Linked DNA regions of Oryctolagus cuniculus. The protein of the gene in region 2 purifies or fractionates together with the protein of the main gene of each other region. This does not show direct contact. Links are inferred from orthologs where the notes say so. Each region holds a gene or a part of one and is shown on either strand. Other genes may lie near its edges.

Region 1 (4,435 bases), on a different chromosome or scaffold from region 2:
TGGCCAGGTAGTGCAGTGGAGGATGGCCCAGGTGCTTGGGCCCTGCACCCCATGGGAGACCAGGAAAAAGCACCTGGATCCTGGCTCCTGCCATCGGATCAGCGCGGTGCGCCGGCTGCAGCGGCGGCCATTGGAGGGTGAACCAACGGCAAAGGAAGACCTTTCTCTCTGTTCTCTCTCTCACTATCCACTCTGCCTGTAAAAAAAAAAAAAATATATATATATATATATACTATATAGAACATTATCGTAATGCATTGTGAACACTCAGTCTAGTGTTCTTCACCTAGGACCAAACGATTTGTGAACAGACGCCTTCTTTACAACGGTCCCACTTTCTAGAACAGATTAAAGGTTCATAAACACCTGCCTCCATCAAGAGGCAGTGCCTTTTCAAACTAAGTACCAAGTCTGGCACAAGCACCAGCCGGGGCAAGGGAGGTTTAATTCCAGCATAAAGAGAATCTTTCAACGTTTTTCCAGAAAACCGCGAGGGTATGTCGTTTGATCAAGCTGGCCTGCTTACTTCTGAAATTTATAAATCCTCTTCATCTGCGTTAGGGTTGGAATCCATCCCCCCTCCCCTCTTCCACTGTCTGCCCGGGATCACACTTGTAGTAGGGTTGCACAATGGATTTCGCCTGGTCATCCGACCTGGAATATGGCACGTTCTCTACTCCAACCGCCTCCAATCTCTTCTCCTCAGAGATAGGCTAAAAATGCAGCTCGCTTTGAGGCGGCGACACAAACGGATGCAACCGAAAGGCTTTGCAGGTGGCCCCTTGCGTTGCACCGGTCAAGCTCCCTACAAACCTAACAGTCCTCTCACCTACTGCCATGCTAATATTTAAGAGACCTGTCGAGGCCGCCAGGGGGGTGCGCGTCTTCCCTAAGGCACCCTGGAACCTGTGGTCGCCGCCCCTCCCCCCAAAAAATTAAACCACGGCTGCGACTTGGAATTGCCCTTCCGTTTACAAAACGCTTTCACACGCGTTCTCTCTCCGATGTGCGTCATTGTTGTCGTGGCTGTTTTACTAACGAGGCAAGGATCCTGTCCACTGACCCAGTAGTCTAGGGGCCGCCTTCTCCCAGGTGGAGATCGTCCCGGTCGGAGGAACGCGCAGGTGGGACGCCCGCAGCTCGCCGCCTCCCACCCGGCCGGTGGTCCAGGCTACTACCCTCCCTCGGCGGCGAGGGCCGGGGGCCCCGTGGTGGCGGCTACTCGGGGTCTCCCGGGTCCCCTCTCCATCTCCCGCTGCGCTCGATCCCCCGAGCCCAGACCCCAGAGAGTCTCATGCGCTTTCCTTCAGGCTCACCGTCCGATCTCGCTCGACAGCATGTGGAAGGGACGGGAAACTCCGTGTCCGCCACGGCAGTCCAGGCTCTGGGACCCACGCTCGGACGCGACGGCGGTGGCTGTCACCAGCAGGCCCGAGGGCTGTCTGGGGATGAAAACCCGTCAGCAGTTAGGTGGCTGACATTTCCCAGTCAGCCGAAGCACCGCCCACTTCCGCTTCCCCGCCTACCCCGTGGGCCGAGCATCCCCGCACCGCGTGGGGTTGTGGGTATCCAGAGGGCGGGCAGAGCTGTAAGAAAAGGAAGTAGCAAGAGCCAGTCAGACTACGAGGCGGGACTACAATTCCCAGCAGGCTGCGGGGCTGCAGACGGCCGCCGGCGAGGCGAGCGGGCAGAAGAACCCTGCGCGCGCGGCGAGGATGGAACGTTACTAGAGTTCGCGGGTCTGGCGCCGGGGGCCGGAGCCGCACTCTTCGAGCCGCTGCGCGCCAAAGCGGGAATCTAGGAGGCGGGCAGCTCTGCAGTTAATGCAGGTAATTTAAAACATCCGAACCTGTGGACGCCATGCACAGGTAAGCCGTTTGCAAAAAGGAGGAGAGTATGAATGGACCATCTTAATTCTTTTAGGCCGCAGATACTGCTGCTTAACTAATATTGTTATTAATGCCGTTGTAGAATAGACCTTTCTTGGGGAAAGTGCGGGTGGATGGCCGCCTTGGTGCGGGAATCGGTGTCCCGCTTTATTTGGCTTCCCCGCGGCCGGTTTCAATCACTGTGTGATCGCCCTTGTACTTTCCTTGTTCTCTCCCCTGGAAGAAATTCTCGGGGCCTTCTGCTTGACCGCAAATCGAAAAGCCTTTTCGATTTTTTCCGGTTACTTTCTCCTTCGTTGCCGGGGAACTCGCCGCGGGCACGTAAAAAGTGCCGTTCTGTTAGCTGCGGCGACGGTTTCCTACCGGGTGTAACCTGTAGCTTGCTTTGTGCCCACCTTGGAAGTCCTCACGGGTGTACTTCAGAAAGGAACCGAGGGTATTGTGTGCTTCTGCAGGAAACACCTCCAGGAGATTCCAGACCAGAGTGGCAACGTCACCACTAGTTTCACGTGGGGATGGGATTCCAGCAAGACTTCTGAACTGCTGTCAGGCATGGGGGTCTCCGCCCTGGAGAAGGAGGAAGTGGACAGTGAAAACATCCCCCAGGAACTGCTCTCCAATGTGGGCCACCCACAGAGCCCCCCGCGGAAACGCCTGAAGAGCAAAGGCAATGAGAAAGACTTCGTGATCATCCGCAGACCGAAGATCAATAGAGAAAATGTCCCAGGTGAGGTGTGAAGGTGTGCCGATGAAAACTGCCAGTTCCGTAAAGGCTGGCTTGAACTAATATTTGGTCGCTAAGCCTTTGTTAGGGATCTTTAGGATAGGCCTCTCTTAAAAGTGCCCAAAACTGAAGTTATTTTCCAATGAAATGGGGCAAGTTGTTGAAGTCATAGGAATCTTTGTAGATATGTATCTTCTGGTCCACCATGGATTTCGAAATTTTAACCCCTGAGAAGATGTCCCTACCTTCTTCCTTAAAAGGGAGTCGGGCTGTTCAAAGTGCAGCTCAGCGCTGCTGGTAAATGGGAATATAAACAATGATCTGCTTTTAGGATTCTTTTTGTTTATAATCCACTGCTCTGTACCCCTAAGTAAGTTTTTTGCCTTACTCATGTTAGTTGTTCATTAATGAACTGCCAAAGCGAGTGTTAAACTAAGTGGAGAAGACTCATCTCATCTCCCTAGGTCCACTCCCAAGCAGGCTTCTCCCAGTGTGCTATGTCTGTAACTCGCTCTTTGTGTTCAGCTACCAAACCCACAAACCTAAAAATCTGATCTCCGCTGTCCCCGACATCCATCTTTCCCTCTTGTGTGGTAAATATTTTTCACGCTCTCATCATCTCTTCCCTGAGCCATTAGAATGGATTCCTAATTCAGGCCTTCTCTTCCCCAGATGCATCCCCCTGAGCTGGAGTGGGTTGACTGAATGTAACACACCCTAGTGTTCTTCTACTAGCACCTTGTTCCCTGATTTCTCAGGCAGGTGAATGACTGCCTCCAGATTGGATCAGAACCCTGGAGCCTTCCAAACCGTAGAATAAGCACAGTGCATTGACATGGGGGATTATCAGTTTTTCTTACTCCTAAGTCATTTAAGCACTAATTCAGCACATACTTGCTGAGTACATACTGTGTGCTAGGCATTGTTGTAGGTGTCGGGGATGCCGCCGTAAGGCAAAAATCAACCTTGCTACCACATGAAACTTCCATTCTAATGAGGGATCACAGTAAACATAATAAATACTTAATGTAGTTTGTTAGAAAGCGATAAGGGCCATGTCTAAAAATAAAAATAGAGCAAACCAGGAGGGAGTAGAAACCCTAGAGTGGGAAAATAGATTACAATTTTAAACAGGATTTTTTTTGTTTGTTTTTTTATTTTTTTTGGCAGGCAGGGTGGACAGTAAGAGAGGGACAGAGAGGAAGGTCTTCTTTTGCCGTTGGTTCACCCTCCAATGGCCGCCAAGGACGGCGCGCTGTGGCTGGAGCACCGCGCTGATCCGATGGCAGGAGCCAGGTACTTCTCCTGGTCTCCCATGGGGTGCAGGGCCCAAGTACTTGGGCCATCCTCCACTGCACTCCCTGGCCACAGCAGAGAGCTGGCCTGGAAGAGGAGCAACCGGGACAGAATCCGGCGCCCCGACCAGGACTAGAACCCCATGTGCCGGCACCGCAAGGTGGAGGATTAGCCTAGTGAGCCGCGGCGCCGGCCAAACAGGATGTTAAGGGAAGACCTCAGTTGGACATTGACATTTAAACAAAGGCATAAATGGGGCAAGCGAGTGTGCCATGCAGATAGCTTGGAGAAGGAATGACCCAGTGCAAAGGCCATGAGGCAGAAGCATGACATACTTGTTCAAGGGAGAACAAGGAAGTCATATTCCAAAAGTGGAATGAGCTAGGGGGAGATCATGCTAGAGGCTATGATGTGACCTGATTTAACCTTTTAAAATGTTGAAACTGAACTGTGGGGAGTGGAGAGCAGAAACTTGGAGACCTGTTAAGCGCTGTGGGTGGAGTGATCGGCAGTGCTCAGATTCTGG
Region 2 (4,434 bases):
GCAGCGGCCATTGGAGGGTGAACCAACGGCAGAAGGAAGACCTTTCTCTCTGTCTCTCTCTCTCTCACTGTCCACTCTGCCTGTCAAAAAAAAAAAAAGAAACTGTTCAACCGTGTAGGGGTAGTTTCCCAGTTCTTCATCTCTATTTTGAAAAAGGTATTTCAAAAGAAGAAGAATAGGTCCTACAACTCCGCAGAATGCACTATTAAATAGCGAGTGGGTATTTAGCTTAGCAATTAAGATGCCTGCATCCCATATCAGAGTATCTGGGTTCAATTCCTAGCTCCAGCTCCTGACTCCAGCTTCTCATTAATGCAGACCCTGGGAGGCAGTGGTAATGGCTCAAGTAATTGGGTTCCTACCACTCGCATGGGCCAACAGCTGGATTGGGCTCCTCACTCTGGGCCAGCCCTGGCCTTTGTGGGCATTTGGGGAATGAACTAGTGAATGGGAGCTTATGCTTTCAAATTAAAAAGAAAAAGAAAGATTTTTTTAAGTCACCAAGTTTTACTCTTTTAAAAGAATCAACTAGTTTTGGAAGGGACTTTGGTGAGGTCACAGATCTAAACTGAACTCTCAGAGTCTCTAGGAATATCATGTACTGGTAGCACATGGTCCCCAGGGGGGAGCTCAGGAAATGGGATTTCAATTCAGTGTAAGAAGGAGCTTTTAAATCATCAGAACTTCACAACAATGGAGAAGCTGCCTCCAGAATGGTGAGCTTCCCATTCCTACGAACAGTCAAGACTGCTGGATATGGAGACAGAACCAGACAAACGAAAATGCACTGCAGTCAGCTGAACCTTTTACTGACTAAGCTGCTTCCTGTGCGATCAGGGGCATGCTCACGCACTTCTAACCTTCGCCTGTCATCTGTGAAATGGAAGCTGTCACTCAACTCCAGCTCTGTGAGAACCAGCAATAAGGCAGGAATCTGCTCAGCACAGTCCCCAGTCCAGGATAACTGACATGGTATTTGCTGTTAGCTTTATTACTAGGAATACTTGGCAGGCAAGCTTTCTGTGACACTGAGGCTGGATGGGTCCCTTTGAATCCTATGATCTTATGGCAAAGTTTCTCTTAAAAACATCTAGAAGAAAAACTCACAGACTCAAACTTACTGGGAGCATAATTTTACAACGAAGGGCAGTTACTGACTTGAGGCTATAATTTCTCACTAAGTGCCTTTTTCTCCCCCCTTACCCACATACCCTGCTGTCTTGACCTTTTATTTTTCCCCACCTCAGACTAAACATTAACAATAATAACAATCACAGAGCTCTGAGGAAGTGGGTGGAGCTATGAAGTCTCTTAAGCTGGGAGATGAGAGCCTGAGTTTGGTCTCTGATTCTGCCTTTAACTCATATTTGCCCCCATAGGCCAGTCTCATATTTATATTGGTTTTAAAGATGGAAGTACTACTCATAAACATTATCTCATTTAATCTTCACAACCTTGTGAAAGGGATCAATACTAATGCCCTAACTAACAGACGGGGAAACTCATGGCCTAAGACGTAGAAGGGCTTTCCCAGAGTTGCACAGGATATAGCAGGCGGCCTAAGGGCCCACCCTCCCAAAGCAAAACAACACAGGGCCTACAACTCCAGGTCTTATCAGTGACATGACATTCTCGGCAAAACCAGGTGAATGTCTGCACCACCACCCCCACATTCCACCAAGGCCTGGCCTGGTGAGGAATGAAAGCAACACATCCGCAGCTGTCAGGAAGGAGGCTTTATCTTGCCAATCTTTTCATATCAAACATAATCACTTACATAGCACCCAGGCTTTGAAAACCAGTATACACTCTCCAACTTACATACGCTTAAAATACATTTTGGATATTCAAGAAACCCTTAACACTGGTTACCTCCAGAGGGAAGTGGAGAGCTGAGGAACAGGGATGTGGGGTCCCTTTTGATCGTACACTATTTTGAATTTAAAGCCACGTGAATAAACTCCCTAAAAACAGCCTCCGGTTTTAAGAGGAACCTCAGACAGCTGGGAAAGAACACAAGTACGAGTTTAGATTGTAAAATACGGGCTCTGCAACTCCGCTTTCTGCTGGGTGACCTTTGGGCAAATCACCCCACCGATCTGAAGTCCACTTTCCTCACTTGGAAAACGTAGCCCTGAACAGCACTACTCACAAGGGTTTCCGGCAGGATTAAACAGGATAATGCAGTAAAACGTTTAGTACGGTTCCCGGCACGCTGGAAGCCCATGATAAAAGCCAGCTACCGCTATTACTTAGCACCGATGTGTTCTTTGCCTGTGCTCACGCAGCACCCCACATACACACCTGTTTCCATGGCATACCCACAATTATGGCGCAGGCCCTCATATTAGTACGCCGCTCTGTACCTCATAAACCATCTCTCCAAGCTTCCTAATCTTTCAAATTCCTGGTAGCCCCGGGCATCATTGTTAACTCCTCTCGCAGATAAGGAAACTGAGGCAGGAGGAGGCAGTTAACTGTGAGACCCAATTTCCCCATCCCTTAAGATGAACTCCACATCCCTTCAACCCCTTCGTCGCTCCCAGGCCCTCGGCTCCCGGAGCCGTGTTCCGCGCGGCACTGACCTGAGCGAGTGCCCCGGGGCCTGGGACCTCGCGCCGGGTTCACACCGACTAGGCGCGCTCGGGCCGCCAGAGCCTCGCAGCGGCCGGGTCCGCTCCGCAGCCATGGCGCCTGCAGGGAAGAGAAAGACAAACAGCCCGAAGCGCAGCGGGTCAGCAGGGGCGCGGACACTCGAGATCCCCCCCACCCCGCCCCGATCGGCCCCGCCTCGTACACAGACCTGGCCCTGCGGCCGCCTTTCGGGGTCCGCAGCCTCACGGGGGAGCGGCTTCCGGTGCTGCCTGCGTCATCTCCGCGCGCCCCTCCACCCCGCGGCGCCCGGCGGAAGTGGCTGCACTTCCGGCCCCCGCCCGAGGCGGAGGCGGGAGAGCCGGAGGCGGGAAGGGAACGCGCTTGGTCAGGCTGGGCGTGAGCCGTGGTCTCACGGTGGGTTAGAGCTGGTGAATACTCCACCCAAGCTGGCGTTCGTCTGCAGATCCAAATTTGCTCGGCTCATTTTAGCTCCCTCTGCTCTGGAGCCGCCTCAGCAGCAGTTTTTATTATTATCCTCACTCTGAAGTGGGAACGGTGACTCAGGTTAAGAGACGCGTCCAAGTTCAAACATTATTGGGTACCTACTGTATCCCAAACTCTGAGTAGCGAGAAGAAAGCGGATAAGCAAATGACTAAGCCAGGTACGGTGCTAAGAAGAAACGTAAAGCAAAGCTGTCGAGCGGGGTCGAGAGACCGGGGAGGAGAAAGGCAGGCAGACTGTGTAGGTTTAAGTCACAATATTGACGCCATGGCAGAGCCCACTGCTCGCTTTCTCAGTCTCGGTGTTTTCCTCCTAACGGTTGTAGTACCCTGCGAATCTCATCCTTCTGGGATGTTTAGTGTCAGAAACTCAAACTACCAAACACTCCTAAAACTACACTGCAAGGTCGTGATTATCATTAGTCCCATTTTTAGAGATGGGTAAACTGAGGTCAAAAAAGGTTTAGACTGCTTGCCTGAAATCCTAGTGACTGCTTATCATAGGATTTCAACTTAAAATGACTCAAATGCCTGGGTTATCTTTGTCACTCTGTGCGGGCTCATCAGCCACATGCATACCCACTCACACAAATGGCACAGGCGTGTCGTACCAGTCCTGCCCCAGTAGGACTTCCTGGCATTGATGGGAATGTTCACTCCCACAAACATGAGCCTCTTCTGGCTGTTGAATGCTGGGTAAGTGCCTACTGCAATGGAGAAACTAAATTAATTTCATTTAATTTAAAAAGCCATGTGTGGTAAATGGCTTACCATGTTGGAAAACATAGTCTAAATTTATGGACATAAACATGTAGAGCCTCATATCCAGCTAGTAGTAGGGCACAGCCAAGGTTCTAAGCACCTCAATTCTCTCATCAAGAGTTCTTGAAATAAGAGAAATGCAAATTGACTTTGTGGGGTAGAAGCCGACTATGGTGCCCTAAAAATTAGGTCTCAAGAGAGCAAATTTGACTGGACAGACAACAGGACGCCCCTGTAGACTTCAAAGCCAGAGAGTGACTAATGAAAATAATGTAAGATATTTGGAAGGCATAGATTCAGAGATTGGATAACCTCTATGACAGGGAAGGCAGTAAAGGAAACCAAACACACGTATCTCTTTGCAGCAAACTGTCTCAGCCCCAGTAGTGTAGGAGTTTGATGAATCAAACTGAAAGTGCCAGATGTGACTGCCCCCAGTGATAATATTGTTTGAACCTCTCTTAGGCAAAGAAACCAAATTGTAAAATGAAGCTCAAAGATCTAGAAGCAAAACTTATAGCTATAAAAATTAAGAAATTGCAAACCATGCATAGATTTCATGTTTAATTAAATACT

Evidence for each region.
Region 1: the proteins of FBXW2 (region 2) and SKP2 purify together in Homo sapiens (affinity purification with western blotting; 4 studies listed by BioGRID). This does not show direct contact. The link is inferred for Oryctolagus cuniculus from reciprocal best matches to the Homo sapiens genes FBXW2 and SKP2.

Annotation. Positions count from the first base shown.
Region 1 is NC_091445.1:61,711,789-61,716,223, forward strand, and holds the start of SKP2 (S-phase kinase-associated protein 2), read left to right. Parts: upstream 1-1,626; 5' UTR 1,627-1,860; coding exon 1,861-1,868; intron 1,869-2,344; coding exon 2,345-2,616; intron 2,617-4,435. UniProt on the Homo sapiens protein: Substrate recognition component of a SCF (SKP1-CUL1-F-box protein) E3 ubiquitin-protein ligase complex which mediates the ubiquitination and subsequent proteasomal degradation of target proteins involved in cell cycle progression, signal transduction and transcription.
Region 2 is NC_091432.1:224,716,572-224,721,005, forward strand, and holds the start of FBXW2 (F-box/WD repeat-containing protein 2), read right to left. Parts: upstream 2,941-4,434; 5' UTR 2,804-2,940; intron 2,695-2,803; 5' UTR 2,586-2,694; intron 2,174-2,585; exon of another isoform or gene 2,153-2,173; intron 1-2,152. UniProt on the Homo sapiens protein: Substrate-recognition component of the SCF (SKP1-CUL1-F-box protein)-type E3 ubiquitin ligase complex.